Linked DNA regions of Notamacropus eugenii. The protein of the gene in region 2 binds, or shares a complex with, the protein of the main gene of each other region. Links are inferred from orthologs where the notes say so. Each region holds a gene or a part of one and is shown on either strand. Other genes may lie near its edges.

Region 1 (7,652 bases), on a different chromosome or scaffold from region 2:
TGTTATTGGCACGATGCTAATCTTTTTATAGAATAACTTGATCTTCACTCTAATATGTAGCCCTCAGGAAATAGGAAACTGCTCCATATAAGAAAGCTACAATGCAGGAATGAGTTGATATTAGGGAGGGGAACTTAACTGCACCTTTTTCTCTGCCAAAGAAATTGTAATAACTAGCAATATGGGCCTAAGAATACCATGACCCAGAAAGGAGAACCTTCCAGGACCTAAAATCACTACAACATACCTGTAGAGTTTTCCTTTTAACTTTAAAAATATGGAGCAGGAAAAAACCAGGAAGAATTTTAGTACCTGCAAGTGGTCTCCATTTATCCACCTTGCACATCAGTATATTATGCAAATCAGCCTTCTGAAAACACTTTACCTCAGAAGAATAATTCTTTGGCTTTTAAGTCTTACATAATTATTGCTTCTACTGTACATCCTGTCACTGGACTTTGGAATTCTATTGCTACCTCTCTGCAATCCAGAACAAGGTTCTCTCCTCATCTTGTGAAACTCCATCATAGGACATAAAACTCATAATCCAAGTTTTTTCTTAGACTAATTTATATATTTTTAATTAGGTGCATCTGTTAACATACCAGAAGAGTTTTTCCTAAGTAACATTATGCAGCAAAAGATCTGATTGGTTAAAAGTAATAAGCATTAACAGGTACACAACAAATCAACCTAGTTAGACTAGGTGTGAGCTTGAAATGATCTACAGGTAACCAACCTTCCTTCATAGCTGCAGTCTCTGCAAGGAGGAATAAAAGATGACATGATGGTTTTAAAAACTTGGTAATTCATCATGTACAAGTTAGATTGTAAACAGTTTTTTGGACACAAGTGGAAAAAAAGTTTTCAGTATGAAATCCACAACAATTTCCATAAATGTATGCTAACATACAGAGGGGCTGATGGGATACATAGCCTGACTGCTGTGTTTTCTTTCTTCCAAGGTTCTTTGCAGTTCTAAGTCTATGAGATCATTATTCTTGGAACCAAATAGTCCAAGTTCTTCTATTTCTTCATATGGCATGATCTTTAAACACTTCACCATTCCAGCTGGCCTTTTTATGCACTTCTCACCAGTTTATCCATGTCCTTCATAAATTGTGTCTAGAACTGAACATTGTATTCCAAAAGTGTTTTGACCAGGTTAGAATAGGGTGGGATGCTCACTTCCCTCGTCCTAAGTGGTATGCTCTTAATGTGCCCTGGACACATTAGCGTTTCACTTGCCATATAATGTTGAATCATATTGAACTAAAAATCTTCAAATTATTTTCAATTCAACTTTTAATTCAGTTGAATTGCCATGCAGATTATCTAACTGAATCCCCTCATTTTACAGACAGGTCCTCCCATAGGAACCAAAAGCCTTTCCTTGAGCCTTTTCATCCATTCAGCTACCCTCCTTTCTCCCTATCACTAATCACATTTGAAATGGGTGCCTCTACTTCATGGCACCATCTGCTTGCTCTTGTACACTTAGTTAATTTGTCTTCTTGCAGCACTATTCTACCGAATAGGTTCTACCTAAGCCTTTTTCTCCTAAAAGTCACTGAAGAGCTCTTTATCAATAAATTCCATGGATTTTTCCATTTCCATAGTTCCATCTCTGGGCAGATACCTCCCAGATTTATTTATATCCACTTTTAGTCTCTAAGCCACTGAGTTTCAGTCCCTGATACCAAAGGCCAGTTAGATATTTCAAACTGGATGTTCCAGAGACTAACATGTCTAAAACTAAACTTGGTTTTTTCATTGCAAACTTTCTCTCTTGCAAACTTGGCTATTTCTGTCAAGGAAACCTCCATTCTTTCAGTGTCTTGGATTGAAATCTTGACATTTGTCCTGAACTTTCTTACATATCACATATCCAATCAGTTGCCAAATCGTGCCATTCTATATTCATATCTTTTCTTTCTGACCTCTCCAGTCACAGAGCTGCCACCTTTGTTCGGGCCTTTATCACCTTGCAGTTAGATTACTGTAACAGCTCCTTATTAATCTCTCTGCTTCAAGTGTCTCCCCACTCCTACATGCTGCTACCAAAATAGTTTTCCTTAAATGTAGATCTGACCATGATTCCCCTACTCAACCAACTTCAATGTCTTCCTAGTGCCTCAAGGATAAAAAGATAAACTCTGTTTAGCTTTCAAAGACCTTCACTTCCTGGCTCTAACCTGTCTTTCCAGCCTACTTAGGCATTTCTCTCCATCCTGCACTTTGTGAAACAGCCAAACTGACCTTCTCTCTGTTCCTGACACATGACACTCTAACTCCGTTTTGCATGCCTTTGTCTTGGTCATCCCAAAGTAGTCTACCTTCCTTTATGATGCTGTTCAGGCACCATCTTCAAATGAAGTATTTCCGCATTCCTCTCATTGCTAGTGCCCTCCTTCCTAAAGTACTTTACATTCCACTATTTTGTATATATTTGTATTTATTTACTATGTATTTTGATATGGAATTGTCTTCTCCATTAGAATCTAAGTTCATTATGAGTAGGATCTGTTTCACTCTTTGTACTTGCATCCCCAGTGCCTAATACAGTAAGGGCTTAATAAATACTTGTGGATTGACCAATTTCTCATTCTCCTTGACCTGTTTGCCACCTTTTATACTGTTGACCAATCACTTCTACTGTATGCTTTATTGGTTTTAGAGCCTACATTTCTAAGCTGTTCTTGGTCTTTTTCATTGGCTACTAACCTCAGGAGCTAGTGTTGGAGCTGAGCTCAAATCCTACTCAAACACTTTATTAGCTGTGTAACCCCAGACAAGTCACTTAATCTCTCAGCTCTTTCCTCTTGACAATGACAGAATGATGACCATAACAGCACCTATCTCCAACTGTGTAAAGATATTTGTAGAGTTTTGTAAACCCTAACATGCTATGTAACACTACTTACGATATTGATGATGATGCCCTTTACCCCTTATTATGGGGGTTCCCCAAGGGTCTCTTCTCATCTTCACATTTTTTCCATTGGCAATCTCATTTACTGCCAGGGCTTCAACCATGTCATAGTCATCATCCCTGCAATTGATTTTAAAAGATTAATTTTGAAAAATTAGGAATTTAAACACCAAATAAAATAGGCTATGCACATAGCAGAATAGAAAAGAGGACTGTAAATGAAACGATCTCTATTATGTAAAATTAAATAATATAATAGATTGAATATGCAATTTCAAAGCTGCCTTGTCTGATTTTTTTCTTGTTTTCCTACTGTTCTCTTCTGTGCATTTAAAAATTCTAGTGACTCTTTTTCTTTTTTGATGGGCTATCTTGTCCCTGGCTCCTCCTCTGCCCTCCCCCAAACTGAAAAAATAAAAAATAAAAAAACAAAGGCTTTGTAACAGATTTGCGCAGCCGGTTTAAAACAAGTTCCCATATTAGTCATATCCAAAAAAGTCTTTTCCTACAACTTGAGTTCATTATCTCAGGAAATGGGCAGTATGCTTTATCACATCAGTCCTCCAAAATTATAGTTGGTCATCGCATTAAATAGCATCCTTACGTCTTTCAAAGTTGCTTTTCTTCACAACATTATGTATATTGTTCCCCAGGTTCCGCTGGCTTTACTGTGCACCACTTCAAGAAGTCTTCTGTTTCTCTGAAACCATCCCTTTTGTCGTTTCTTCTGGCACAATATTCCATTCTGTTTTCATATCATAATTTGTTCAGTCGTTCCTCAATCGGTGGGCAGCCCTGGTGTCCACTTCTTTGCCACAACCAAGAGCTGCTATGAATGTTCTTGTGTATAGAGGAGCTATGTGGAATATGGGCCTAGTAGTGCCAAGGACGCGTGTAGTGTAGTGACTTTGGGGGCATCATCTGGGGACAAACTGCTTTCCAGTAGAGTTTCTGACCAATTCACAGCTCCCCCATGGCACATGGAGGGTGCTGGCTTTCCCACGGCCCTTCCAAAAACTGCCATGGCACTAACTCGATGACTTGTGATGTAGAGGCCTTTCTTGGTCTGATGGTTGCTAGCTTAGATGTGCGCCCACAGGCTTTGCCTGCTTGTCCTCGTTCGTGTAACTGGGTCAGTTCCTTCGACAGGGCACGTACGCTCGATGCCCACCTGGCACCGCAGACTCATCATGTCTGACTCCCGATATGTGCTCTCTGGCTCATGACGGGCAGGGCTACCCACGCCGGGGAAGGAGAGCGGAGGACTCCCGTGCAGGCTGAAGCACACTTTGTTCGTTTCGTTTGTTTATTTTGGGGGCAACATGATGCTGCGTGACTTCACACGTAAGACGGGCAGACGGGGGCAGAGGCGAGAGGGGGGGCAGAATTCGGAACTCCAAAACAAAGCTGTAATAGAGGGAAAGGCGTTACCACGGACCCAGTCCCGCCCACGTGGCGTGGGGCAGCCGTCCTTCTCCCTCCACTGCCCCGGTTTCATTCCCCTACGTCTCTCTTCCCACGGCCCCCCCCCCCCCCCTTGTATTCCTCCCCGCCCCGCTCCCCGCCCCGCTCCCCCAAACCCCGGGCCGCTGCTTTGCTGGGGCCGTTGTGGCCCCGCCCGCTTCCCCGGGCTGAGCAAGAGCAGGAGCGGGGCCACGCCCACAGCCAGGGACCAATCAGATGCTCCCCTCGCTCTGTCTGCGCTGCCCGGGAGTCCTAGCTCCACCCCCTGCAGGCCCGCCGGGAACGTTTGGCGTTGCGGTTAAGTTTGTGTCCCGCGCCGCGCCGTAGCTCGGTTCCGGTTCTCCTCCGCTTCCTCCGCTGCCATGGCGGCTGCCCCGCCGCTCTCCAAGGCTGAGTATCTGAAGCGTTACTTGTCGGGGCCCGAGGCAGCTGCCGATGCGGGGTCGGAGCCTAGTCGTAAGCGCCGCAAGAAACGGCCGAAGCCGACGGGTGCCGGAGGGAAAGGGTGAGCCAAGGGGGAGTGTGTGTGTGAGTGTGTGTGTTTGTGTGTCCGTGTGTGTCCGTGTGTGTGTGTGTCCGTGTGTGTGTGTGTCCGTGTGTGTGTGTCCGCGTGTCCGCGTGTCCGTGTGTCCGCGGGCCGAGCCGCTCAGCCCCGGCCTCCTCCGCCCCAGAGCGCCCGCACTGCCTCCTGGGCGGCACGGGGTGCCCGGCTCCGCGCCCAGCGCCGGGGGGGCCCCAGCCCGAGCCGCCGGGCACAGCCGGGCCGAGCCGGGAGCGCCCTCCTGGAACTCGAGCTCCGAGCTGCCGCGAGGAGACTGGCGAGGCGCGGGCGGAGCGCCGGGGGCACTGCGAGGGGCAGCGCCCGGGTGTCAGGAATACGGAGACAGGAAAGGGGGGCTCGGGTCGTGACTTTCCCGGAGCTTTATGGAGGGCTGGGGTGGGGGCCGCGTGTCAGACGGCGCCCTGCACAGAAAGAAGGTGAAGGCGGGGGTGTCCCCAGGGGAAGCCGGGCAGCCTCGGGGAGATCACTGACAGCCCAAGGGAGGATGGCCGGGAGTGGGAAGGACACGGGGCCTGTCAGCGGTGCCAGAAAGCAGAGAGGTTGTGAAGGTAGAAGGGGCAGCGGGGGGCACAGTGGGTAGAGTGCCAGGCCTCGAGGCAGGAAGACTCACCTTCCTGAATTCAGATCCGGCCCCAGAGTCTTCCTAGCCCAGTGACCCCGGGCAAGTCCCTTAACCCTGTTTGCCTCAGTTTCCTCATCTGTACAATGAGCTGGAGAAGGAACTGGCAAACCTCTCCACTATCTTTGCCAAGAAAACCCCGAATGGGGTCCTGAAGAGTCAGACAAGACTGAAAGGATGGAACTACAGGAGCAGCTGTAAAGGTAGAGACGAGACTTGGTACCGGATTGGATGTGCAGGTGGTGAGAAAGCACTTTGAGCCTGGGTGCCTGGGAGGGTGCTGGTGCTCTCTGTGGAAACTGGAAAGTTAGGCAAGCACCAGTGACCCTAGGCTGTGGCCTTCCTCCTGCCCTGGCTCCTTGGTCCCCCCCATCACAACTGTGCTCTCTCCTGGCGCTGAAGGCTGTGACTGTCTCTTTGTCATTCCTTTCATCTGACTGTCTTTTTCCCATGAGCTTAGGCTCTGGCCTTATGTAGATGGCCCTCTTTCCCACCTTGTCCCCTCTCTTCTCCAAGCCCACAGTTCTCCCTATTTACTCCCCTCTGTACCCTCTTCCTTCCTGACACCCATGTGCCCCATTCAAATCAACCCAGCTTCTGGGCCAGATCAGTTTCCTCTCTGTTGACCATGTTGCCCTCTCTTAGTCACCAAATTCAGTTCCTTGTCTCTCCCTTTGTATCTCCTCAGTGACCTGAGCCCTGGATACACTCCTTTTCTCTCATTCCCTCCCAGACCTTGAGGAGTGAACTGGGAGGATCCAACCTGAAGTTTGGGATGAAATGCTTCAGAAGTTAAAGGGCAGGGGGTGTTTGGGGGGTGGGCCTGGGGAGAAGAGTACCAAGGGGGCCAGTGAAAAACACGGCAGTGGAATTAGGCCCAGAGGTAGGATTTCAGGCTGGGAATCCAAACTTTTGGGCTTTGAAGTAGGAGATAGCCCACTGGTTGTGGTTGGGGATTTGTGTTCCATCCTGTTCCCAGTCTCTTTCAGAGTAACTTTTCAAAGTTAACTTTTCCTAAATTCTTCAGTCTTAGAGATGTTGGCTTTGCAGGAAAAGGGCAAACTAAATGGGGCTTCTCTCTGTCTGCTCATGCCTCTCTCTGACTTATTTCTGAGCAACTGTTTGGGTCTCCTAGAATGTTGTTGGTTCTCATCTTGAAAATAGTTCTTTTTTCTGACTATTTTCTGTAGGATGAGGATTGTGGATGATGATGTGAGCTGGGCAAATATTTCTACTAAGTTAGAAAAAGAAGAAGAGGAAGAGGAGGGAGATTTGCCTGTGGTAAGTTTGGGAGTAATACGCGCTTAGGAACTTGTGTTTGCTTCAAGCAGATTCCTTTCATTTGGTTATAAGATCACAGAATTTAGAGCTTAGAAAGAACTTTGGAGATTGTCTTGTCTAACCTCATTTTATAGACGAGACAATATCGGTTCAGAGAAATTGATCGACTTCCCCAAGGTCAGGCATTAAGTGGACCCCAACTCTTAATGCTATGGGTGAATGGAAAGTGGTGGGAACAGAGAAGCAATGATGCTTTGCTTAAAATTGTAACAAAATGTTAATTAATAGTTGTGCTATACTCATTTCATTAGGAGCATCATCCTCCTAATAGTGAGGAAGCAATCACACAGAGGGAGTGACTTTCCAAGTGTGTGTTTTTGCTCAGCCAAAACTGTATTTAGTTTATGTTTGCAATTCTCCACTGAAAAATGTAAGAAAACATGCATAACAACTCTAAAGAAACTTTTGCTCTCCTCTTACCACTTAATAGCTTGATGCCTCTGTTCATTCATTCATTCATTCATTCATTCATCAAGCAAGTAAACAAGCCGGCAGACATTTATTAAAGGCTCCCTATGTGCCAGGTACCAGGCTAGGTTCTGGGCATACAAAGACAGAAAGGAAACTGTTCCTTCCTGCCTTTAAGGAGCTTAAGTATTGTGATTGGGGGAGAGCATTTTTGGGGGTAACAAGCAACACTAATACAAATAAATAGATACATAGTAAATATAAATAATTTCCATTGGGAATAACATTAACAGTTGAGAGGATCAGCAGAAGCCTCTTCCGGAAGG
Region 2 (7,161 bases):
CCACTAAAAAAACCCAGATACTGTAACCATTTCTCCCTATCCTGGCCTTGAGCTCAAACCTTCTCCTCCCCTAACTTTATAAGTGTAAGACTATAACTATCCCTACAGAACTTCATCTTATTGGATTCTGCCCCATGTTTTAGTCTGACAAGATCTCTCTGCTGTCCAGTTTTCATCCAGCACATTAACTATCATCTGCCCTCTTTGAGCCTTTTCCCATGAAAGTGCTTTGCAAAATTTACAGCATCATATAAATGCAAGTTTGTGTTGTCCCTTTCTTTCCACATCTCAAAACTTATCTACAGTAAGTCTTTCTATCTTAGTCTCCCTTTCCCCCCAAGGTGATATATAAGCCCTTGGAATAAGTGTCCTTGATGCTCTCCCCTCCCAGCTCTTTCAGCATTTCACATGACTTACTCCAGTTCAAAAAGCATTTCCCTGCTAACTCTAGAATACAAACTCTTGAGCAAGCAAATTTATAGCTGTCAATAGCCTACCTTTTCAAATGCATTTTGTATTATTTCCCTTTATGTGCTCTACTTTCTGGCTAATGCCCCATTATTCTCTGCATCTATTATTCTACATCCCATTTCTACACAATCATACAAGTCATCCCTTGCTAGCCCCTCATCCTCATGCAGGGCCTCATCTTTGCCTGTCAGAACTCTCATCTTCCTTTCAACCCAACTCAGTTGCTCTCTTCTCCACCAAGCTTTTCCTGATTCCTCCAGTTGTTAATGCTCTTTTCCTCCTCAAATTATTGGTTTTTAACTTATTTAACATTGTATCTACTAGTAGACTAAGTTCCTAGAGGGCAGAGACTGTCAATTTTGTCTCTGTAACTCTAATATACTATGTATACATAATAGGTTACTTATTACAAGTTTGTTGACTCTTAACATTTGGAGCTGGAAATTAATTTTAGAGATTATCTACTCTAATATTTTTATTTTACAGATGAGGAAATAGGCTCAGAGATAAAGTGATTTGTCCAAGTTACACAGAAGACTGGGTACCTGCCTCCCAGTTCAATAGCTTTCAAGGCACTTATATTACTACCACCTCTTTCTACAGGCTTCTTCCTCTCTAACTATAAATCTACTCAGGTGTTTCCAATCTTGAAATAACAAAATCTTTCCTAAATCTTTCTACTCCCTTCAGGTATCATTCTTTCTAAATTCACTAAAACATTTATTAAGCATCTACTATACACAAAAGATTCTAGTCCTCAAGAAACTTTCGGGGGAAAAGGAAATAGGTATTTACATAGGCCACCTACTGTGTACAGGGCAATGTACTAAGTGCTTCACAAATATCTAATCTGATCCTTAAAACAACCTTGTAAGGCAGATGCTTTTATTGATCCCCGTTTTACAGTTGAGGAAACTGAGGCAGACAGAGGTTAAGTGATTTGTCCAGGGTCACAAAGGTTGGATTTTAACCTGGGGCTTCCTGTCTCCAAGTTAAAGGTTCCCTCTACTTCATCACCTAGCTACAACGGAATAAGACATTATGTACAGTACAAGGAAAATTGAGATGGGGAAAGCTGAGGAGAACTGAGAAAAGCTTCATAAAGGAGATGGAAATAGTTGAGTCCTTAAAGTAAGGGATACTTCTAAGGCCTAAAATTTGACTCAACCACATGCAATCTGGTTTTCATACCTAAATACTTAACAAAAATGGCTTTCTCAAAGTTCACGAATGGTACCCTACTTCCCAAAACCATTTTTTGGGGGGCATGCCCCGCTAGATCAAGCCTCTATTTAAGTGTTGACTTCCTCTTCAATATCTTTCCTACCCTTGGCTTTCATGATATTCCACTCCAGGTTCTTCTAATATGTCTAATGACTTATTTTACCTGATTTTTCTCCTCCACCCCACTTTTCTTTTTCATTCTTCATTATAAGGTATGGCTCCCTTGGGTGGGATGGGGAGTGGGATATACAGGGAAATAAAGACAATGTTAAGACAAATGATCAAGACATTTAAAAAAAAGAGAAACAGTGAGCAGTACTTCATGGCACTATGTAGAAGTGGGTCTGGTCCTCAGTTTTCACATCTGTAAAATGAAGGGATTGGTTTCGATGTGCCTGCTTCCTATCTGACTAGGTCTTGCGTACTCATTCCACTTTAAACTCTGCCATCTTTCCACCGTTTCATTCCAAAAGCTACAAGAAAGAACATGCCCCCAAAACGTGTGAGGTAAAAAGAGAACACCAACGAGCAAGGAGAAGGTGGGAAATCTGGCTCCACTTAAACCACCTCTGACAGGTCATTGTCCTTCTCCGAGCCTCAGTTTACTCTTCTGTCAAATAAAGTGGCTGGAATTACCTCTAAACTCAATCTGGTTTTAAATGTCATTCTTTCAAATAGATTACACGGCGATTCAAATCACCAAGCACTTGTTTTAGGCTCCAAAAAAGCCCCGAGGGAATCTTAACGTGGTAGATGCAAGGTCTGAAGGGCCCTGCGATCCATCTATCTATGCATCCATCCATCCATCCATCCGTCCATCCATCCGCCACACCCAGCATCGCCTCCCAAACCTGAGGCCCCTCAATAACCACTGTTCGGGAGAGAATGAATGGAGCGCGAGACACAAGAGGCCGAGAGCGCGCGAGCGCGCGCCCCTCCCCCTCCCCACGTGGCCAGGGGCAGAGAGAAGGCCGGGAACGTGGAGCATGCCGGGAAGCAGAAGCCTCTAATCGGCTTCCTCAGGCCTCCCTCACTAGCCGGTGCAGGCTGAGCTGAACTCCCGGGCCCTCCAACTGCCAGGTCACCGTACTCACTTTTTTAGCTCGGGTGGGTGCGCTTTACTCATTTTGTTTCACTTGCGGCCCTTCGCCTCCTCCCCGTGCAATCCTCGGCTTCACTCACGCTCCCCTTGCCGCCACTGACGCCACCTTACGTCTGGCATCATCGGCTCCGGCAAACCAATCACAAACCGAGCAGCCCCGCCTCGTGCTGAGGCAGCCAACCGAAGCCTGCTGCGCATGCGCACTGCTACAGGTGGGCGGGGCTGGGAACTAGCCCGGTAATTGAACAGTTTGTTGGATTTCAGCGCGGATCCTGAACCTGTCTAGTCTTTTGGGGAAGAAAGACAGAGACCCAGATAGAAGAGACTTATCTGAGGCAGAGGCAGATAAGCAGTTAGTGGAAAGGACTCAAACACAGGTCCCTCTGTTTCTAGTGTCTGCTATTTATTTTATTCGTATATTACATTATTTTTATTTCATTGTTAAATCCAGTCCATCCAAGAAATATGTATTGGGAGTTTACTATGAGCCAGGCGCTGTACTAAGTGCTAAAGACACAATTAATTAAAAGCCAGTGCCTGCCCTCAAGGCCCTTACAATCTCAAGGGGTTGACAACGCACAAAGGAGGCAGGGAAGCGGGGGTTGGGACAGGACTGGGGATTTTCTTGTAAGTTATCTTGTACCATGGAGTCGAATCCAGGTAGGGGAGCAGATCAAAAGTGAGGTCCAGCGTGTGCCGTTTCAGCATCACTCCATACTTCCCTTGAACATTGCATAGGCCCATAAAGGACCTAGGACTGGAAGGGTGCTTAGAGAGCCTCTAGTCCAACTCATTTTACAGATAAGGAAACTGAGGCCCAATGAAGTTGCTCGAGTGCTGTCTACACTTACAAAATGGCCAGGATGGTAATGAGCCTCTCTGAATTTAGGTAAGTAGATCCTCTAATTATAAATATGCACCCTCTAGGCCATACCTGCATGGGAGTCAGGCCCACATCCACATCACAAGGGGAAGGCCCGAGAATCATGTAATCAAGGTGTGAAAATCCATGCTTGTATCGATATAAGCCAGGGATGTGCAGGGATGGTAACTTTGTGAACCTTAAAAGTATCCCGCCTGAGAATGCCCCAAAGAGTAATAAATCAGTCAATGAATCACAGAATCAGAAAACCTGAGTTGAAAGGGATCTAAGTAACCATCTAGTCCAACCCATATATGCAAGGAATCTCCACTATCAGAAAAGTGATCAGCTTGATTCGATAGCCTCTGCATCTGAGGAGAAATTCACACTTTTTTGACAGCTCCATTTCTTAGATTTTCTTCAATACGGAGCCTAAATTTGTCTCTTTGCCAGCTGTCACCCATTGCTCCTGGTTCTGCCCTCTGTGACCACACAGAGCTATAAAAAGTAAAGTGGAGATTTCACTTACCTTATAGAGTTGTTGAGTGTATCAAGTGAGAACATGTAAGGGACCTTGCAGATCTAAAAGTACTATATAATTGCTAGCTACTAACATTATTGGTATTTTAATGCAGCTCAATGTTATATTAACATTTTTGGTTACATACACTGCTGATTTGCAAACCCAAAGATATTTTTTATAACAGCTGCCATCTAAACAAGTCTTCTTACCTTTGTACCTGCTGAAGTCAACTCTTTGTACCTATGTAAGACTTTACGTACCCAAATGTAGGTAGAACTTTACAAATCTGAAAAGAATTCTCTACTACATAACAAGTCATCTAATGGCCTCCAATCAGAGGGCATCCAATACCTTGTGAGGGAGGCCATTTCTAATTATTTGCAAGTTTTTCCTGACATCAACCTTAAATTTCCTCTGCAACTTCCACCCACTGCATCTAAACCACCATTTCACAGATGAGGAAACTGAGGACCAGTGAAGTTGCTCGAGTGCTGACTACACTTATAAAATGGTCAATATGGTGATAAGCCTCTGAATTTAGCTAGGATGATCTTAAGACAAACATGAAGCCTCTTGGACTTCACCTGCATGGACATCACAATAATGAGGCAGGAGAATTATATAATTAAGAGGGAAAAATACCTTCTTTCTGGGGCCAAGGAGAACAAATCTAATCCTTCTTCCATATTACAGCTCTCAGATACTTGAAGACAGCTCTCATGTGCCCCAAACATTCTCTGCTCCAAGCTAAACATCCTTTGTTCCAGGACGTTAATACATTAAGACTTGGAATCAAGAAGATTCAGGTCTGAATCCTGCCTCAGACAGGGTTGTATAACCCTTCAGTTTCCTTCTTTGTAAAACCAGAGGAATACTACCTACCCTCCCATGTTGAGAAAATGAGAAAGAGAAGGCAAACTATTTTGCAAACCTTAAAACATTGTATAAATACTAGCTATTGTATGGCATGAGCTCAAAACCCTTCATAGTCCTGCTGGCCCTCCTCTAAACATCTTCCAACTTATCAATCCCTTTCCTAAATAGCAACACCCAAAATTATACAAAATACATCAGATATGATCTAAACAGAATAGACAATGGAACTACACCTTCCCTACTTTATACTTGATATATTCTGAACCCGCATGTAAGACTTTGAATCTACTTGTACCAAGTTAATTTTCATTTGGCCTGTTCTTTTTTGAATACTGTCAGTCAGCGGATTATCACTTTACCCATTATTCCATGTTGCCATTATTCTATAAAAATGAGGTGTTTTTATAAAGATAAAATTATTTATCCACTCTTAACACCTTGATAGTTGTGATTTTAATGAGTTATATATTATACATAAAGATCATTATCCCTCACATCTTTTTGTTCTTTTTGTCCAAGTTTCCTCATAAATTCTCCCTCACGGATTTATTAGTTTGACAAAAATACAAAATGTTCATCCATCTAATAATAAGAACAAAAATTTAGAATAGGTGTTGAGAGGTTCTTCCTTAACATGATAAAATGTATCTAATCAAAATAATTTCCAGTAGTTAGTAGTTTTGGAGAACTTTTATTTTATCTTTCTGGTTCCCAGTTTTCCTAGGCAAGCTCTAAGGTCTATTAGTGTACAATTCTTTCTAAAAGCCATATTCCTAGAGGTCTATCCCCAGTCACAAGCATTCATCAGGCGTCCCCTGTAGGCCCAGCATTGCTGGGTACACAAATAATCTGACACTAAAGAGTCCCTCAACAAATCCTTTCTCTGGCAATCTCTTCCTTGTTCACTATGGAAATACCTCAAATTCCCTCTGATTCCAGAAGCAAGGGGAAGCCAACAGACAGAACATCTTAAATATAAACTTGCCTCAACACAGCCTTAAGATTAACAGACTGTTACAATTGAAAGGATCTTGGAATTTAGTTTGAACCCCTCATTCTATTTGAAGAGTTTGAGGCCTAGAGAAATGAAGTCTTATGGGAGGAAATGTGTTTTCACTAGAACTGGAATTTATCTTGGTTATCTGAAACCAAAGTAATTCTAATGATCAGATACTTCAGAGAATGTCAGAGTTGGCATCTCTCAACAAGACCTTAAGGATCGCCAGCTAGTCCAGTCCCCTGTCACAGGAGGGCACAGGTCTATGCCACAAAACGGATGCCCAGGTTTCTTGATTTCTACTCTAATGCTCTTCCTGAAGGCATGAACACCTCCAATAAATGTCACAATTCAGTTTAGGTGTAAATGGACCAATTCCTCCATATGTGCTGTAAGTGATGTTTCTGATACCTGTATAAATACATTCTTCACACACTGAGAACCAGGTAAAAATATCATTGTCCAGATGTAAAAAGAAAAGCAGTTCACTAATGGGGGAAGTAAAAAAAATCAAACTATTTATTTTTTTCATCAAACCACTAGGAAAATATGACATAGCCTTGAAACACTGAATAGGAAGGCTACGTTAATTGCATTCAGTAAGAAGTTGGTATAAAGAGAACAAGATCTTTTCCAGCACAATGCCTGGTACTAGCATGTTGCTCAAAGTTTTAACCAACAGTGATTACTGGATAATTGGTGCTAGCTGCATCTTGTATTCTGGAGTAGAAAAAAGCTCTCCCTTGCAACCTGCTTAGAAGTTTAAGTTGTTTTCCTACCCTTTCCTGTCCTTAGAGGTTCCTTTCAACAAGTTGTTTCTGTAGAAGAGCCAGGGTCAGATATCACATCTTTTTCTGCTTTGGGGAAAATTAACTGACCCAAACCTGTCATCCACCATTCCATTAAGCAAGAGGCTTAAGATTGTTCTGTAAGCAAAGAGAGGCTTTCTTTGGCCTTAACTGAAAACCGTTTCATGTTAGTCTCAAAAAACACTAACTGAAGTGTTGTTCTTGTAGTATCTTCCAGAAGGGCAAGAAAAAGTAACTTGAGCAGCAGTCTGAGAAAAGTCACTGTGAAGGAACCTGAGCTTCACATGCCTGGTGGGA
Region 3 (7,791 bases), on a different chromosome or scaffold from region 2:
GGAGAAGAGAGAAATCAAAGCATTGTAGTTAACATAGGTGTTTTCTGGAATGGGGATTTCTTTCAGAATTCTTTACAAAAAGTTGAATTTACATAATGCAAATTTACATAAAGCAAGTATTGTCTATAAACATGTTTTGTACATAAAATATATCGTAAGCATACATGACTGAGGCAACTTTGACATATGCAGAAAATCAGCAAGGGATTCAAAAGACACTCAGCAGATAATCCAAAAGCAAACTGACTATTCTCACTACCCAGCACAAGAAAAATAGAGCCTTCTCCCTTCAAAGTTCCAACATCATTTTAACCCTACGAATGCTTCAAATATTTCAGTTCTGAGAGTCAGGCTGAGAGACATATTCAGGAACCAAAAAAAATACATACCAGCTGCTTTCTTCTTATCCATGCCCTTTCCTACACAATTTAACGCTGCTGTGACCACTGTGGGTTCTGAGAAACCCAACACCCTCTTCACTGTCTTCTCGATCCATGGCTTCAGCTCATCCAGCTCCCTCTTGGACAGGGCCATTCTTTAGAAAGGACAACAGACAGTGAGACAACCTTGAATACTCAACACAGCACCTATGAGGGAAAAAGGAGAAAGTGATTGGGAAGGGTAGGAGACTGAAAATAATACAGGTTGACATTTATTTTATCAGAAATGACTTCTCCCCCGGCTACCTCCTGCACCCCTGGGCAAGTTAATTTACTACAATTACAGATAAATTCATCCCCCTGGTAACAATCTTTGTAAAAAATAAATCCAAAAGAGAGCATCTCTTATGCTAACCCAGGGGGAATTGAGCTGAGAACTGTATTCTGGTGCTTCCTTCCTTATACTATTAGATCTACAGAGCCTGACAGATTATACAATATGGAAATATAGCAGAAGTCTTTCAGAAGTCATCAGGCTCATGCATGGCCTCCCCTAACCTCATTCTGACTGACAGAATCCTTTTCTGTGGGATCCTAATACAGGTCAGTGGGTCATGAAGTATTTATGGTAGAGTTAAACACCAATTTTATATTAAGGTTCACAACTTCTAAGCACATTCCTTTACAGATTTTTCTCTTCATGACACCATACCCTAATTTCACATAAAAACTGTATGACTGACCAACCCTCTCATAATGTAAGTTTACATGACAGACCATTCTGACAGGGTGCTTGACAAGGATCACAGAAATGAAGATGCACACCCTCCTCCTCTCCTGACTGACAATTCTTTACTTCTAATCTAATTCTTGAGTTCAGCAAAGAAAAAAGAAACCACTGAAGAGTCTTCTGAACAATAGACCTTCTCACTGAACATTCTATTAAGCAGGACTGTCATTTATATTCACACCTTTACTTGTCTAGCTAAATCAGAAGCTATTCAATGACATAAGCTATTTTCTTAAGTATTCTTCTTATATCATCTGGTATAGTGCTCAGGACACAGGAGAAAATAATTACTCATTGATTTAACCTTTTCAAATCTAAGTAAGCACATACACCAGAGTTTCTGTCCAATTTGTGATTCCAGTTTTCTTCATTTAAAAGTAAATGATCTTCTTTAGGATATCCTAAGACATCTTTTCCCTATGAGAAATATAATGATTAATGTCTTCATTTCAGAACAACATTTCAGTACAGATCTGTACAAGTTCACACTCGGAATTACCACCAAACTATGATTTTGAATTTGGAATAAAGTGGGATAGAGGGGCCTGGAAAAGAACAGATGAAACTAAAGGAAAAAGACCACATACAGGATGTTCTGAAGTATCTGAGTATCCAGCATATGTCTTGCTGAAAGAAAACTCATTAAGAGGTCTATTCACCTATCAGTTAGATGACAAAAGAGCCCAAGAGGGTCTCAATCATTTTAAGGAATCACTGAAAAAGACTATGTTTTCCTAAACTCCTACTCAACCATACATATTCCTGAACTGCGAATACAGAGAATGTTATCATGCATGGTATTAAGAGGGATCCTGGTGTTGTCAAGAGTAGGGAATGAGCAACTTAATTCCTCGGGCTTTCAGTATCCCACTTGTAAAACAGGGACTAAGACAAAAGGGTTTGCCTATGCTCAAAGGATTGTTGTAATGATCAAGTTAAATAGAGAGCTTCTTTTGTAAATACTTAAAAAACGACAAAAGTAAAAACCTTGGTCATCATCACATCCGTAGCGTTTAAAGGACTGGAATATAGCTAGGGCTCTGAACGCTTGTAAACGAAACCCTCACCACCACATGCTAGTTCATTTGATATGAAAACAAAACAAAGGGTGTGGGTGGTACACAAATCAGCTTTGGGGATCACAACTTGACATGTCACTGAGCAGATGACAACATACTAAAGTGGAGCCTCCACTAGGAAGGCCAAATGAGCCCCAGTGAAGACTCAGGGTGGAAGTTTCCACTCGGGATGCTTCCCCAGTCCCGCTCTTTTTTCCCCTTTGACCTAAGCCCCCCACCCCCCGGTTGTCCCGGGGCAGCTCACCTCGGTCCGAGCCTCTTTTGCCCTTCCCGCCCCCGCCCTTTACCTCCCTACAATCCCCGCCACCCCACTCCCCCTCAGAAACCTCTCCTTGGCCACTCTCCCTTGGGCCCATTCGCCTAAGGGATCGCCACCTCCAACTGGGCTCTGACTGCGGCCAGGGCTAGGAGGCTGAGCCCCCAGGCCCCACAGCCAGCCCCACTGGGCCCGAGCCCGCTACTCACCTCACAAACTTCAGCCCCTGAGACGGAGCCCGAACGTTACACCGGAACCGGAAGTCGGCCGACCTTACGGCTTGCCGTCGTTACCGCTGCCTCCGCCACGCGGCTTCCCGCCCGGCGCCCCTGGCACGTGACGGTGGCGAGCCCAAAGGGTGCAGAGAAATGCGAAGAGGTTCGCTCGCCCGCCCACCCGTCTCGGCGCATGCGCACGGTTCTTTCGAAGCCTAGGAGGACTTGAGATGACCAGGACTATCCGCCCACCATTATCCCGTGCGGAAAACCGGAAGTTCATTCTTCCGGAAACGGAAGTAGAGCCGACAGACGTTTCCCCAGTGCAGGAAGCGAGCGCTTTATGCGAAAGTTGGGGATGAAGTCGAAGGCTGGGATGTCTTCCCCGAGCCTTGGCCTTCGCGTGCAAAGTCAGGTTTAGTAAGCGCGGACCCGGTGTGGAGCACCGTGCTAGGATCTGGTAAAGTGTGAATAATCAAGCGGGCTTCCAGTCTTGGTGCCCTTTACTGACACGGCGCGTGGGTTCACTCGGCGGGTGCCCGAGAGGCTTTACGGAGAGCGTCCAGCTATCCCTCCTCGTCTTTAAAGTGGGGATAATGGGGCAAAGACGCTATTTAAGAACACTTCCTAGCACCGCCCCTTCCACAAGCTCGTACAACACTCCGAAACCCTTAGTGAGACAACTTGCCAACCACCATATACAAACGTTCCGTATACAGGCTAAATCAATAGAGGGAAGGCACTGGCATTGAGGAGGTTTGGGAAAGGCTTCTTGAAGAAGGTGGGAGTTTAGTTGGGACTCCAAGGAAGCTTGGCAGAGGTGAGAACATTCTGGGCGAGGGGGAGAGTCAGTGTAAATGCCTAGAGTGGAAGATGGATTACCTTGCTGGAGGAACGGCAAGGAAGCCAGAGGCACCGGATTGCAGAGTACCAGGTTGAAAGGCTGTGGTGTTAAGATGTTAAGAAGACTGGAAAGATAGGAAGGGACCAAGATGTAGAGGACTTTGGATAAAACAAATAGAGGATTTTAAATTTGATCTTGGAGGCAGTCTGGAACCGTGGTCAGATCTGTACATTAGGAAAACCAATTTGACAGCTGAGTGGATGATGGACTGAAAGGGGAAGGGGCAGAGACTTAAGGCAGGCAGACCCACCAGCAGACTATTGCAGTAGTCCAGGTGTGAGTTGATTAAGGCTTGCACCAGCATGATGGCAGTGTCAGAGAGAAGGAGTTGTATCAAGAAATGTAAGAAACAAGACTTAGCAATTGACAGGCTATGGGGAGTGAGAGTTTGGAGTTGAGGATGACGCCTAGGTTGTGAGCCTTGATGACTGGGAAGATGGTGGCATCCTAGAAGTAATAGGGAAGTTAGGAGGAGGAGAAGATTGAGGAAAAGATAAATTCTGTTTTGGACATGTTGAGCTTAAGATGTCACTGAGACATCCAGTTTGAGATGTCCAATAGGTAGCTGAGGATGAAAGAACAGAAGTTAGGAGAGGTTAGGGATAGATAAATAAATGTGAAAGTCATCTATATAGAAATGATAGTTGAATCCTTGGAAATTGATGAAATCAGGAAGTGCAGTAATTGTCCAGAATAGAGCCTTTGGGTTTCCCCATGATTAATAGGCATGCTCTGAATGAAGATCCATCTCGGAGACTGAGAAAAAGCAATCATACAGGAGAACCAGGAGAGAGAAGTGTCATAAAAACCTAGAGAAAAGAGATTATCAAGGAAAAGAAGGTGATTAACTATCAAAGACTGCAGAAAGGATTGAGAAAAGACCATTAGATTTGGCAATTAAAAGATCATTGCTAACTTTGAAAAGTTTCCATTGAATTATGATGTTAGAAGTCAGACTGCTAAGGGCTAAGAAGAGAGTGAGAGGAAAGGAAGTGGAGCCAGTGATCACAGATAGCCTTCTCAGAGAGTTTAGTCATACAAAAAAAAAAAAAAAAAGACATAGAATGATAGCAGGGAAGGGGGTGGGAGATCAAGTGAGGGTTTTTTAAGGATGGAGGAGACATGAACATATTTGTAGGCAGTAGCCAGGAGACAGACTGAAGAAAAGAGAGAGTTGGAATGATAGAGGGGGAGAAGACAGAATGGAATAAAGTTATTAAAAAACAAACTATATAAATGTTAGTTATTATGAAGTTAGTTCAAGGAAGATCATTACCATATGAAAAATCAGATTTATGGCAGAAAGGAACCTCAGAGGTCAACCCCCTTATTTTTCAGGTGAGTAAACTGAAGTTGAGAGTTAAAGTAATTTGCCTAGTAGAAAGAAAAGAAAGAGAAGAGAAGGGATATGAATTAAACTTCAAAAGTTGGAGGGGAGAAATTCCCCTTAGCAAAGTCATTTTTTAAGTACCTGAAATATCCCTCCTCGTTTTCAAAGTTTTTATTTCTCATTTGTCTGTTAATAATAGTAATTGTTTTTTGGCCCTTTTTAGATCTTAGCCCCTTATTGATGTGTTAGAATTCTGTAACAGTGAACTTGTGGCCAGGTTAGAAAAATCACTGCACCATTTGAAATATAACTAACACTGCCCCTCATCTGTGTTCTAGAACCTTAGACAAATCAGCCTTATGCTGGACCATAGAGTTGGGTACCTGTAATTCTTGCTCCTGAGGAGGCAGAGCCTGGTAGATCTCTTAAGCTGGGATGTTCTAAACCAATCAAGTGCATGAACTAAATCCAGCATCAATATGATAAGCCCCCAGGAGCAAAAGCCACCAAACTGCCTAAGAAAGTTCAACTGGCCTAGGTCAGAAATGGAGCAGGTCAAAGCTTCTGTGAAGATGAGAAGTGGGATGGAGCCCAGGAGTGGCCACTGTGCTTCCAGTGTGAGTGAGAAAGAGAGACTCGTTTTCAAAAAAGGAAAAAAAAATTTTTGAATTGGAGAATATAATTTTTAATACAAGTGGCAGTCCTTGACCATGGCGGTGTCTGGGACAATATCCTGTATATAAGGACTCAATATTATTGTTTTTATTTTTCTAAAGATATAATACAGATGTCTAAGATGTTAATTAACACATTTATTAAATATTGCCACAGTTTTAAAATGCACAAGAGTCCTAACCATTAGAAAATGAAGCAGTAATTTCTACCAGTGTTTTTCAAATGGGAAAAAAGTCTTTTTCAGTAAATCCCTTATGGCACAGGCAGCTTTCCTTCAGCATCATTTCTCCATTTCCACCTCTTTGCTTTTGTATGTCCTGGATCAGCTTCCATCTTCCTCACAATAAACCTACGTCAGTTAAATTCCACAGATAGTTATTATTTACGTATTCTGAATGATGCTGGGAATGCGCAAACAAAAGTGCCTGCCCTCAGTGGACCTACATTACATCAAGATACATGTAAAAAGATAAGTAAATCTCACGTGATTTAAGGAGAGATAAAGTACTAACAACAGTCTTGAGAAAATTTTGCAATTAAGAGACACTGAGACACAAGATTCCAAGCATGATCGATTTATTAGCAATGTAAACAGTTGCCAATAAAGTAGGGCAATGGCTCATTAGTAATCAGAAACAGTTCTGACAATCAGAGCAGCTTTTTATACAATTGAAAAGATAGGTTATAAAGAGTACCAAAAATAGTCCAGTGATGCAAAGTAAACTAGGACTGTTGGTTGGTTTAGAAGAAAGGCAAAGGGTATGCTATACATTTTGCTTAATCATACTGACTTGCAAGAGGGAGTTTTCAGAATCTATAGCAACAGGAAAAATACAGAGTTGAACAACATCCTCTGAAAAGTCTCATGCCATATACCACTCAATACCTAAGAGATCCAGTGTTCGGCAAAACATTTGACCAGGTTGAATCATCTTCCATCCATCCTCCTTATCTCATTTGACCAGGTTGAATCATCTTCCATCCATCCTCCTTATCTCCCTCATGAGACAGGTCCAGTTTGTAGCCTTTAGAATTAGGGAACCCAAACTTACAAACTCTACTACTGAGGCCTGTACAAGTAAATCTGAGTCTGACTTATAGATATTAATTCCAGTGGTTTAACTAAAACTCTTAAATATTCATCAGTGATCTAAATCTCTTACAACTTAGACAAATCTTCACAGAGGATGGTTGAGTGAACAGATCATGGACATGAAAAATTAAAAGTTGAAAGGAACCATCTAGAGGTTATCACTCCAACCCACTCACTTCAATTAAGGAAACTGGGACCCGGGAGAATTGAGATGACTTGCCCCAGGTTATAAAGTGTCAGACAGACTTGAAAGTCTGAAGCCTGGTGCCTTTTCTACTTCAGAACCCAGTGATACCTGAGTGAAATAAATATTCAGAAGTGGAGGGAAGAGAATTGAAGTCCAGACACAGGATACATTGGGTAGAAAGGCAGGAGACAGAATGCTAAGTGAGGCAATTGTTGTATTTCATTTCGGCTAGAATTTGAGTATGAAAGGAAGTAGTGTGAGATTAGGCTGGAAAGATAAATTGGAGTCAAACTGGGGAGGACTTGAAATGTCAGGTTGGGTCACTTCCATTTTATCCAGGACAAAATAGTATGCAATAGAGGGAGCTGGTGAGAGAAATGATTATTAATAACCAGTATCTTAGGGAGATTTAGAGCTCTCCTTTTCTTCCAAATTCCTGATTTTAAAAAGTTAAATCTCTTAAAGGACATTACTAATAATGAGACTGAATTAACTCTCCCTAATATTGGTCAGACCCAACCCAACTCTACAAGGAATTTAATTTCAGATGGGGAAGTCCATTGTGTTCTACTCAAACTTGGGCAGAGACGGATCCTTTTATCTAGATCAGGGCTTCTTAAACTTTTTCCACTCTCCACCCATTCGGCTCTCAAACTGTGGGTTGGGACCCCATAGTTTTAAGAAGTACTGGTCTAGATAGTCCAAGTCTGGTATAAAGATATTTTCTCTGTCCAGTGGTGACATGTCACTCTCAACCCCTCACTGAACACTCTTCAAAGGGTATATAAACTGTGAGCCTGCTACCATGTTTGTAGTCTAAGAGGTAAGGCCAAATGACCATCCTTTTATTAATAACCTGGTTGGGGACAGGGACAGGGAAGA
Region 4 (7,273 bases), on a different chromosome or scaffold from region 2:
GACAATACCCCACCATCCACCCCTAGGTCACTGTAAGAACAATCTCCTTAATTTAATACATAGTGTCCAAGTAAAGTCCTTTCTCATCTTGACCTGAGGCTGACTTCCAAACACCATGGCTCCTCCTCTGTGGGCCAACCATTCTCAGTTTTTGCCTGGGTTCACATACAGGCAGCTCTCAACTCCTGTTCCTTGGCTCAGCTCATGGTGACTGTTCTACTCCAAACTCTTCCTGCTTTTGCCTAATGACAGGCTCCAGGGGCTCCTGCCCATAGCTTTTGTTACTAAGAAAACAAAGCTTAAGAGGGCTATAACAATATTTATAACACATTACCAATGTCCTCATCTCAATTCACTCATAAAGACCAATAGACAGGGATTCTGTCTGAGAAATCAACACAGATTAACAGACAGGGCTTCTGCCTCAGGAATTAACACAGACCAACAGACAGAGCACCAACATCACAAACATTCTTTCTGTTAGGTGTCCCCATTCCCCTAGCCCACTCATGGTCGTTTCTTTCTCTCAGCTCTGTTTCTCTCTCTGCTTCTCTTAGCTCTGCTTGTCTCTCCAAGCAATACAATGTATATTGTTTCCAATCAAAGATTCTTAATTGATTCAATGAAAGGTAAGACTCAGTCGAAGGCACTTGATTGGCAAACTCAATCTAGAAAAACTGCCAAGAATTCTACTTTGCTAGCCATTACAATGGCCTGAGTCTGAGCTAGCCCAGAACAGATAAAATTACATATAATACATGGTATTAGATGGTGCTTCTAATAATGGGATACCACCTTCCTTTATGAAAATTGGAAAAATTCCCTTCCACTGTCATCCAGGGACTTAAAATCACCTCCAAATGAGTCAAAGGGTCACTTTTCCTCTGTAACCCCACTTTTGCTCCAAGTTTTGGGTAATTTTCTTAGGGGCAGTCTTGTAAGACTGTATGGATGTGTGTGTGTGTGTGTGTATGTGTGTGTGTGTGTGTAGGGGCTAGCAGCAGAAAGCCATGACTCATTTGCTGAGCATAAAGCGGAGAAGGGATTTCTTTTAAGAGATTCCTGAGAGAAATGGAAAGGGAGATCCAGAAAGAATGTAAATTTTTGAATAGTAGACAGGAGATCTAAATAAAGATACCGACTGGCGGTAAAGCCAGACTTCAACAGGTCTTTTGATTTCTAGCACCAGCCCTAGAGAATGCTGAGTGGAATACCCCCTCCTAGCCCTCACTCCTCATTTTTCTCTTCCCTTAGTTGAAATGAGTTCGTATTTCAGTTCAGAAGAGCTCATTTATTCTACTCTACTACTTTAATCTAAATGAGCTGATTTCCATTTACTGATTACTTTGATAGAGGTCTAATAGCTATCTGTATTTGTATTTTCTATAACTATTATTTGGTGGGAGGGAGCTTAGCTGATGAGGGTGAGTTAAGTTTTATCCTACCCTTAAGAGGGACAAGGGGAAAAGTGCCTTTTGTTTTGAATGTTTAAAAGAGAGAACACTGACCCTTAGACTACAAATATTTGAGGTGTGCTGATACAATTGTGGGCACAGTGAATACAGTGTTGAGCCTGGAATCAGAAAGATGATTCTTCCTGTGGTCAAATCCAGCCTCAGACACTTACTACTTGTGTGACCCTGGGCAAGTCATCTAACCCTGCTTGCCTCGGTTTCCTTATCTGCAAAATGAGCTGGAAAATGAAATGGCAAACAACTCCAGTATATTTGACAAAAAATCCTAAATGGGGTCCTGAACAATTGGACATGACTGAACAACAACAGATATAATTGTAGCCTCAAATACCTATTGGGGATAGAAGAGCAAGAGTGATTGCCTGGTCATACCTTGACTAGATTCTCCCTGTGGTTCACAGGGCTTTTGGCAATGCAGTTCCAGACTGCCTCCAAGCCAGAGGTGGAAATCATAATCTCCATTTGCAGACATGGAATAGGGCTTTCCAGATCTCACCTCTGATATCTGTCTATATCATATGTGGACTAATTGTTTTATATTAGATCTACCCACGTCTATTACATATGAATTGGGAAAATAAGCCTAGAATCTAGGAACACCTCTAAGCTCACTGTGACGATGAAGAGAGTTTTTTCTCAAATTAGAAAAGAAAAAAATACTCCACATTTGGTCCCTCAAACCCTTTCTAAGAAGACATAGTCCAAAACATCTCAGGGAAAAGGAAATCTATCAGTTAAGGGAGACCTGAACCATTTCTTCAGGTTGCAGAGAATCTTCTGAGATGTCACAAATCTTAAGGTCCAGCTGACCCACACAAAAGATGGAGTAAGAATGGACTGGAGGGGGTCAACTGGCACTATATACAAAAGTAGTCTGTCTTGATCAGCTGAAGCCTAGATCTGAGAAAATATTAGAGTAGAGATCCCTCTTTCTCCTTAGGATTCTGCTGATTTATCAGAGACACAGCCTCTGGGAGAAAGGATGAACAATCCTGATAATCAGGGAGTGTGGTGATGAAATTGTATCAAAACTCCATTTCAAGGATCCATTTATATCAGCTCTTTTTGTGCTGCCCATCATTTGGCAAATGGCTGAAAAGGCTATGGCATATGGTTGTGATGGAATGCTATTGTGCTGTAAGAAATGATGAGCTTCAGAAAAACCTAGGAAGACATATGAATTGATGCAAAGTGAAGTGAGTAGAACTAGGAAAATACTGTACATAGTAGCAGCAACCTTATAACGTAGTCAGCTGTGAAAGACTTAGCTAGTCTGATCAACAACAGAATGATCCTAGACAATTCTAAAGGACTTCTGATGAAAAATCACCTTTTCACCTCCAGAGAGAGAACTGATGAATTCTGATTGCAGATTTGAAGTATACTATTTGCTTTCCGGTTTATGTGGAAATGTTTTGCGTGACTTCATATGTATAATAGGTATTAATTTCTTGATTTCTCAATGGATGAGGAACAGGTGGAGAGAAGGAAAGAATTTGAAACTGAAAAAAAATTTTTAAGTCTATGTCAGCACTCCATGATAAAAGCTGCTCCGGGTTGGAATCGAAGATGTAAAACTCATCAAATGGGATGATAACATAATACAAATATTTTCTGTGACTCCCTAGACTATAACTCCTTTTTCTTGCTACTCCCTTATGTGTGTTTTTTCCACCATTAGAAAGAATCTAAGCTTCCTGAGCATAGGGATGGTGTGCGTCATTCTACTTGTATTTCCAGCACTTTTGCTGTTTATCACATACCAATCGCTTTATCAATACTTTTTTTTGATTCATCTATTTATCAGAGAACCTTATGCGCCATTCATGAAGTACAGCTTGATGCTGGGGCAGGTTGAGCAGCAGCCCTGCCATCAGGCAGACAATCTGGCCCCAGACTCTTAGTGGGCATGCGACTCTGGGCAAGTCACAACCCTGTTGGTCTCAACTCCTCACCTACCACATGAGCGGAAGAAAATCCCCAAACCCCAATCTTCGCCAAGAGAACCCGACTGGGGTCACGAATCGGACAAGACCCAACGGGTCACTTCAATCCCTGCTACTCAGTTTCCTCCTCTTTAACATGAAGTAGAACAAGCCAGCTCAGCCAAGTCAAGCTCCTGGAAGGCGGGGGCTGTTCTGTTTCTGTCCTTGGGGTTCTCCACGCAGTGCCTGGCACCCAAGAAAAGCCTAATACATTTTAAAACTTAAACTAGTTGTTTTTTGCCCATGAGCGGGCAGCGCAGCAGGTGGAGAAGGAGGGGATGACTTGGAATCTCCGATCCGCCCTCCTTCGGTCCGTGCCCGCAGCCGCCCGTCTCTAAGCCTGGGCTCCTGGGAACGTCAAGGGCTTTCCAGTTCTAGATCTAGAACCTCGGGAAGAAGGTTAACAATGCGATTCCACCCACGGTTACTGTAGCTGGGGCGCTATTGTGTATACTGAAAATACAACAAAATACACGGACTCAGGTAGGAGTCGGACCGGGAGGGGACCGGAAGCAGGGCGACTGCTATTCTGGGGGACACGTGCGTCCCTAAAACTGCTCAAGTCGAGATCCAATCGGTTGAAGACGATACGGCCCCAGGGTGGCCTGGACCCCAAACGGGCGGGGCAGGAGACGCCTTTCCCGAGCGCTCGAGACAAACCGCCCCACCTGCTAGTGCCTTCACCCACTCCTTCTCTCCGGAAGGTAGAGAAAGGGAGGGCCCGGGGGGTGGGGCCAGAGGCGGGGCCTAAAGTGAGCGGCGCCAGCAGCGGGGCCGAAGCCACGCCCTTTCTACGTCGTCATTTCCAGCGACGCCCTCACGTCATCTACCGTCGTCACTTCCTGCCAGCGCCGGAGTGGACGGTGCTGGCGGCGCCCGGCTCGGCGCTCCCCTCTCCTTCTTTCCCTCCCTCCCTCCCTCCCTTCCTCCTCTTCCTCCTCCTTTTCCTCTCCCTTCCTCGGCGGCTAGAGCCCACCCCGCGCTGACCCCCCCCCCCCAACCACCCACCGGAGGCCGCTCCAGATCTCAGCGCCGCCGTCCAGCTTCCTGCCCTCCCCCTCCGCCCCAGCCCCTGTGTCGGAACCAGGCCCTTCCCGGAGCGGCCGGAGCCTTCGCCGCCCCTCGGGAGCAGCCTTCGGAGGACATCAGCGACCCCACGGCGCCTCCCTGCAGCCGTCCGCTGAGGAGGAGCCGTCCCCCCCGACCCGGCCGCCGCCGCCATGGCGATGAGGCAGACCCCGCTGACCTGCTCGGGGCACACGCGGCCTGTGGTGGATCTGGCCTTCAGTGGCATCACTCCCTACGGCTATTTCCTGATCAGCGCCTGCAAAGGTGAGCGAGGTCCCGGGCTCGGGTTGGCGCTCCTTGGCCTGGAGGCGGAAAGGAAGGAGACAGGCCGTGCGCCGGCTCCAGAGGCCTCCCCGTGCCCTTGCCCGCTTCCGGGGGACCCCGGGTTTGGCCGTGGCCCCATTTTGGGAGGCGGGCCCAGTTGCCGCCAGTCCAGATGCCCCGGCCTGGAAAGGCTGGAAATAGATTCCGAGGCTTGGGGGAGGGGTGCTGGTGTGGGGCCCTGCCAGGGAGGCCCTAGGGAGTGGGGGCTGTCCCGCTCGGTGGGGAACAGAGGAAGCCTGGAGGAGCCTCGTTTGCTGTGGGCACATGGCTAAGAATCGGCTAGGCAAACTACCTCAACTTTCTCGCCAAGTTACTTGGAACAAGTTTACAATTTGGGTTTTTTATTTTTTTTTATCTTTTATGATTTTGCCCCACTTAAAGATTACAACATGTCTATTAGTCATAGGCTAAGCTTTAGATCCTCAAAAGTCAAAGGCCTCCCCCCACTTTTTTTTTTGTATTGTAGTGTATTCACAAACTATTAAGGAAATATCGCATACATGATTTGTGGAGTCCAGGACGTAGAATCGAGGAGTCCACTTAGTGAATTTTCATACTAAAAGATGTATTAAAACTTAGGATCAAATATTTAACATTTCAGAATGGCCATAATTTTATCATAGGGGAGGACTCCTTTCATCCCAACTGGCAATAGTGAGCCCTTCCATGCTTCTCAAGAAATTTACCACCTGGGGTGGCCAACCTGATTTCTTAAGTGTGCTAATGGGCTATTAAAGGCCAGGTTAGATCTAGAGTAGACAAGTCCATGCTTTTACTGTTGTCATAATCTTGGAATGTGAAAGATTATCCCCACATCGGTAGGAGGTATTGGAGGAGAACATATGAAGAGTTGCCTCAATTTAAAATATATAGCATGAAAGCTTTTGGAAATTCTGTTTTGAAGTATAATTACCAATTTTATGTTGAATATTTTTTTCAACTTTAAAATACATTTTCAGCTGTTATCCAATTATGGTTGATAATTCTTTCTGTAATCATTTATGTTTTAAAATACTCAGTAGGTCCATATATAAATGCAAATACATTGTGATTTTTGGTTTTTTGCTGTCTTATACTTTTCATTTATTGCCTTAGGTTTTACATTTGAATTGGATGTAACAAATTAATAGTTAAGTTAATCATACCATTTATGTCTGTTTCATGATAAAAATCTTGTAATTTCTTTTTTTTTTTTTTTACAAGCTTTTGCTTTGAGAGTAGTTTTGAAGATTTGCTGGACTTCTCACATGACTTTACCTAGCTCTTTTATTTAATTGTGAGATTGGCAAATTATTTCCACAGTTACATTTTTTTTCCTTATGAGACCTCTTCCAGATAGAGGGCTCCCAGGTGAAGAACTTGTTTACTGGTGGAGATTTGGTGGCTTCTTTGTCCCAGAAAGTTGCCTGAGATGCTGAAGTGACTTGCCCAGAGACACCTAACTTCTCAGTTCCTCACACAGCTCTAAAATTAAATTATAGAGCAATTGTTTCTTCTCTGGCAGTTCATTATGTCAGTGTAATTATTGAGAACTTTTAACTCCCAAATTTTTAGGAATATAACACTGATTACTGAAACACTTATTAATCACTTTTTAAAAATTTGTTTAGATGGTAAGCCTATGCTACGCCAAGGAGATACAGGAGACTGGATTGGAACATTTTTGGGTCATAAGGGTGCTGTATGGGGTGCCACATTGAATAAAGATGCTACAAAAGCAGCTACAGCAGCTGCAGATTTTACAGCGTAAGTAAAGGCATGTTTTCTCCCTTTTAACTGTATACTTGTGAAATATGTTATGAAATATCCAAAACATTAACAAGCCATACTTTTTAATCATTCAGCAAAAATCATTGGGTCCTTTTATGTTCAAAGTACTGATATACAGTTGTAGAATTCATTGGTTCAAAAAATTTTATTTGTAAGGAAAGTGATTGGATCTGACTTTTTACTGTTTTAGAGTAGCAAGACTACTCACTTAAATGTCAACGATATAACAATGTGTTAAAGACAAAAATAGAAAGGTCCCTGCCTATAATTAGCTTAAATTTTACTAAGTAAGTAAATTATGTACACAGATAATTATAACTCAGTGCCAGAAACATTTAAGTGCTTACTCTATAGAAAGACAAAAAATCAAAGTCCCTACCTTCAAGGAGCTTTTTGTTCTATTGCAATGTTAAAACATGTACATAAGTAAACTGGAAGGAATTTTTAGAGGTAAAAAGTGTTCATAAGTTGTGATGTGGAGGTGGGGGGAGCCAGGTATCAGAAAAGGACTTGTGGAAGATTGTAGAACCTGAGCTTTGTTTAGCAGAAAGAGTTAATACAAATGAAGGAGTGAGTTTCAGATGTCAGAGGAGTGCAAAGTTTCAGAAGGGAGAAATGGAATAGCATGTGTGGGTATTATTAATTAGTATG

What was found.
Region 1: SNRPG (region 2) and BUD13 share a complex: the UniProt entries of both Homo sapiens proteins name them as parts of the minor spliceosome. The link is inferred for Notamacropus eugenii from reciprocal best matches to the Homo sapiens genes SNRPG and BUD13.
Region 3: SNRPG (region 2) and PRPF3 share a complex: the UniProt entries of both Homo sapiens proteins name them as parts of the U4/U6-U5 tri-snRNP complex. The link is inferred for Notamacropus eugenii from reciprocal best matches to the Homo sapiens genes SNRPG and PRPF3.
Region 4: SNRPG (region 2) and STRAP share a complex: the UniProt entries of both Homo sapiens proteins name them as parts of the SMN-Sm complex. The link is inferred for Notamacropus eugenii from reciprocal best matches to the Homo sapiens genes SNRPG and STRAP.

What each region holds. Positions count from the first base shown.
Region 1 is NC_092876.1:135,379,411-135,387,062, forward strand, and holds the start of BUD13 (BUD13 homolog), read left to right. Parts: upstream 1-4,646; 5' UTR 4,647-4,758; coding exon 4,759-4,901; intron 4,902-6,767; coding exon 6,768-6,858; intron 6,859-7,652. UniProt on the Homo sapiens protein: Involved in pre-mRNA splicing as component of the activated spliceosome. As a component of the minor spliceosome, involved in the splicing of U12-type introns in pre-mRNAs.
Region 2 is NC_092872.1:631,381,452-631,388,612, forward strand, and holds the start of SNRPG (small nuclear ribonucleoprotein G), read right to left. Parts: upstream 3,003-7,161; 5' UTR 2,822-3,002; coding exon 2,790-2,821; intron 1-2,789. UniProt on the Homo sapiens protein: Plays a role in pre-mRNA splicing as a core component of the spliceosomal U1, U2, U4 and U5 small nuclear ribonucleoproteins (snRNPs), the building blocks of the spliceosome.
Region 3 is NC_092873.1:304,220,012-304,227,802, reverse strand, and holds the start of PRPF3 (U4/U6 small nuclear ribonucleoprotein Prp3), read right to left. Parts: upstream 3,007-7,791; 5' UTR 2,715-3,006; intron 1,588-2,714; 5' UTR 1,501-1,587; intron 588-1,500; 5' UTR 535-587; coding exon 390-534; intron 1-389. UniProt on the Homo sapiens protein: Plays a role in pre-mRNA splicing as component of the U4/U6-U5 tri-snRNP complex that is involved in spliceosome assembly, and as component of the precatalytic spliceosome (spliceosome B complex).
Region 4 is NC_092874.1:190,187,322-190,194,594, reverse strand, and holds the start of STRAP (serine-threonine kinase receptor-associated protein), read left to right. Parts: upstream 1-4,267; 5' UTR 4,268-4,680; coding exon 4,681-4,792; intron 4,793-6,462; coding exon 6,463-6,598; intron 6,599-7,273. UniProt on the Homo sapiens protein: The SMN complex catalyzes the assembly of small nuclear ribonucleoproteins (snRNPs), the building blocks of the spliceosome, and thereby plays an important role in the splicing of cellular pre-mRNAs.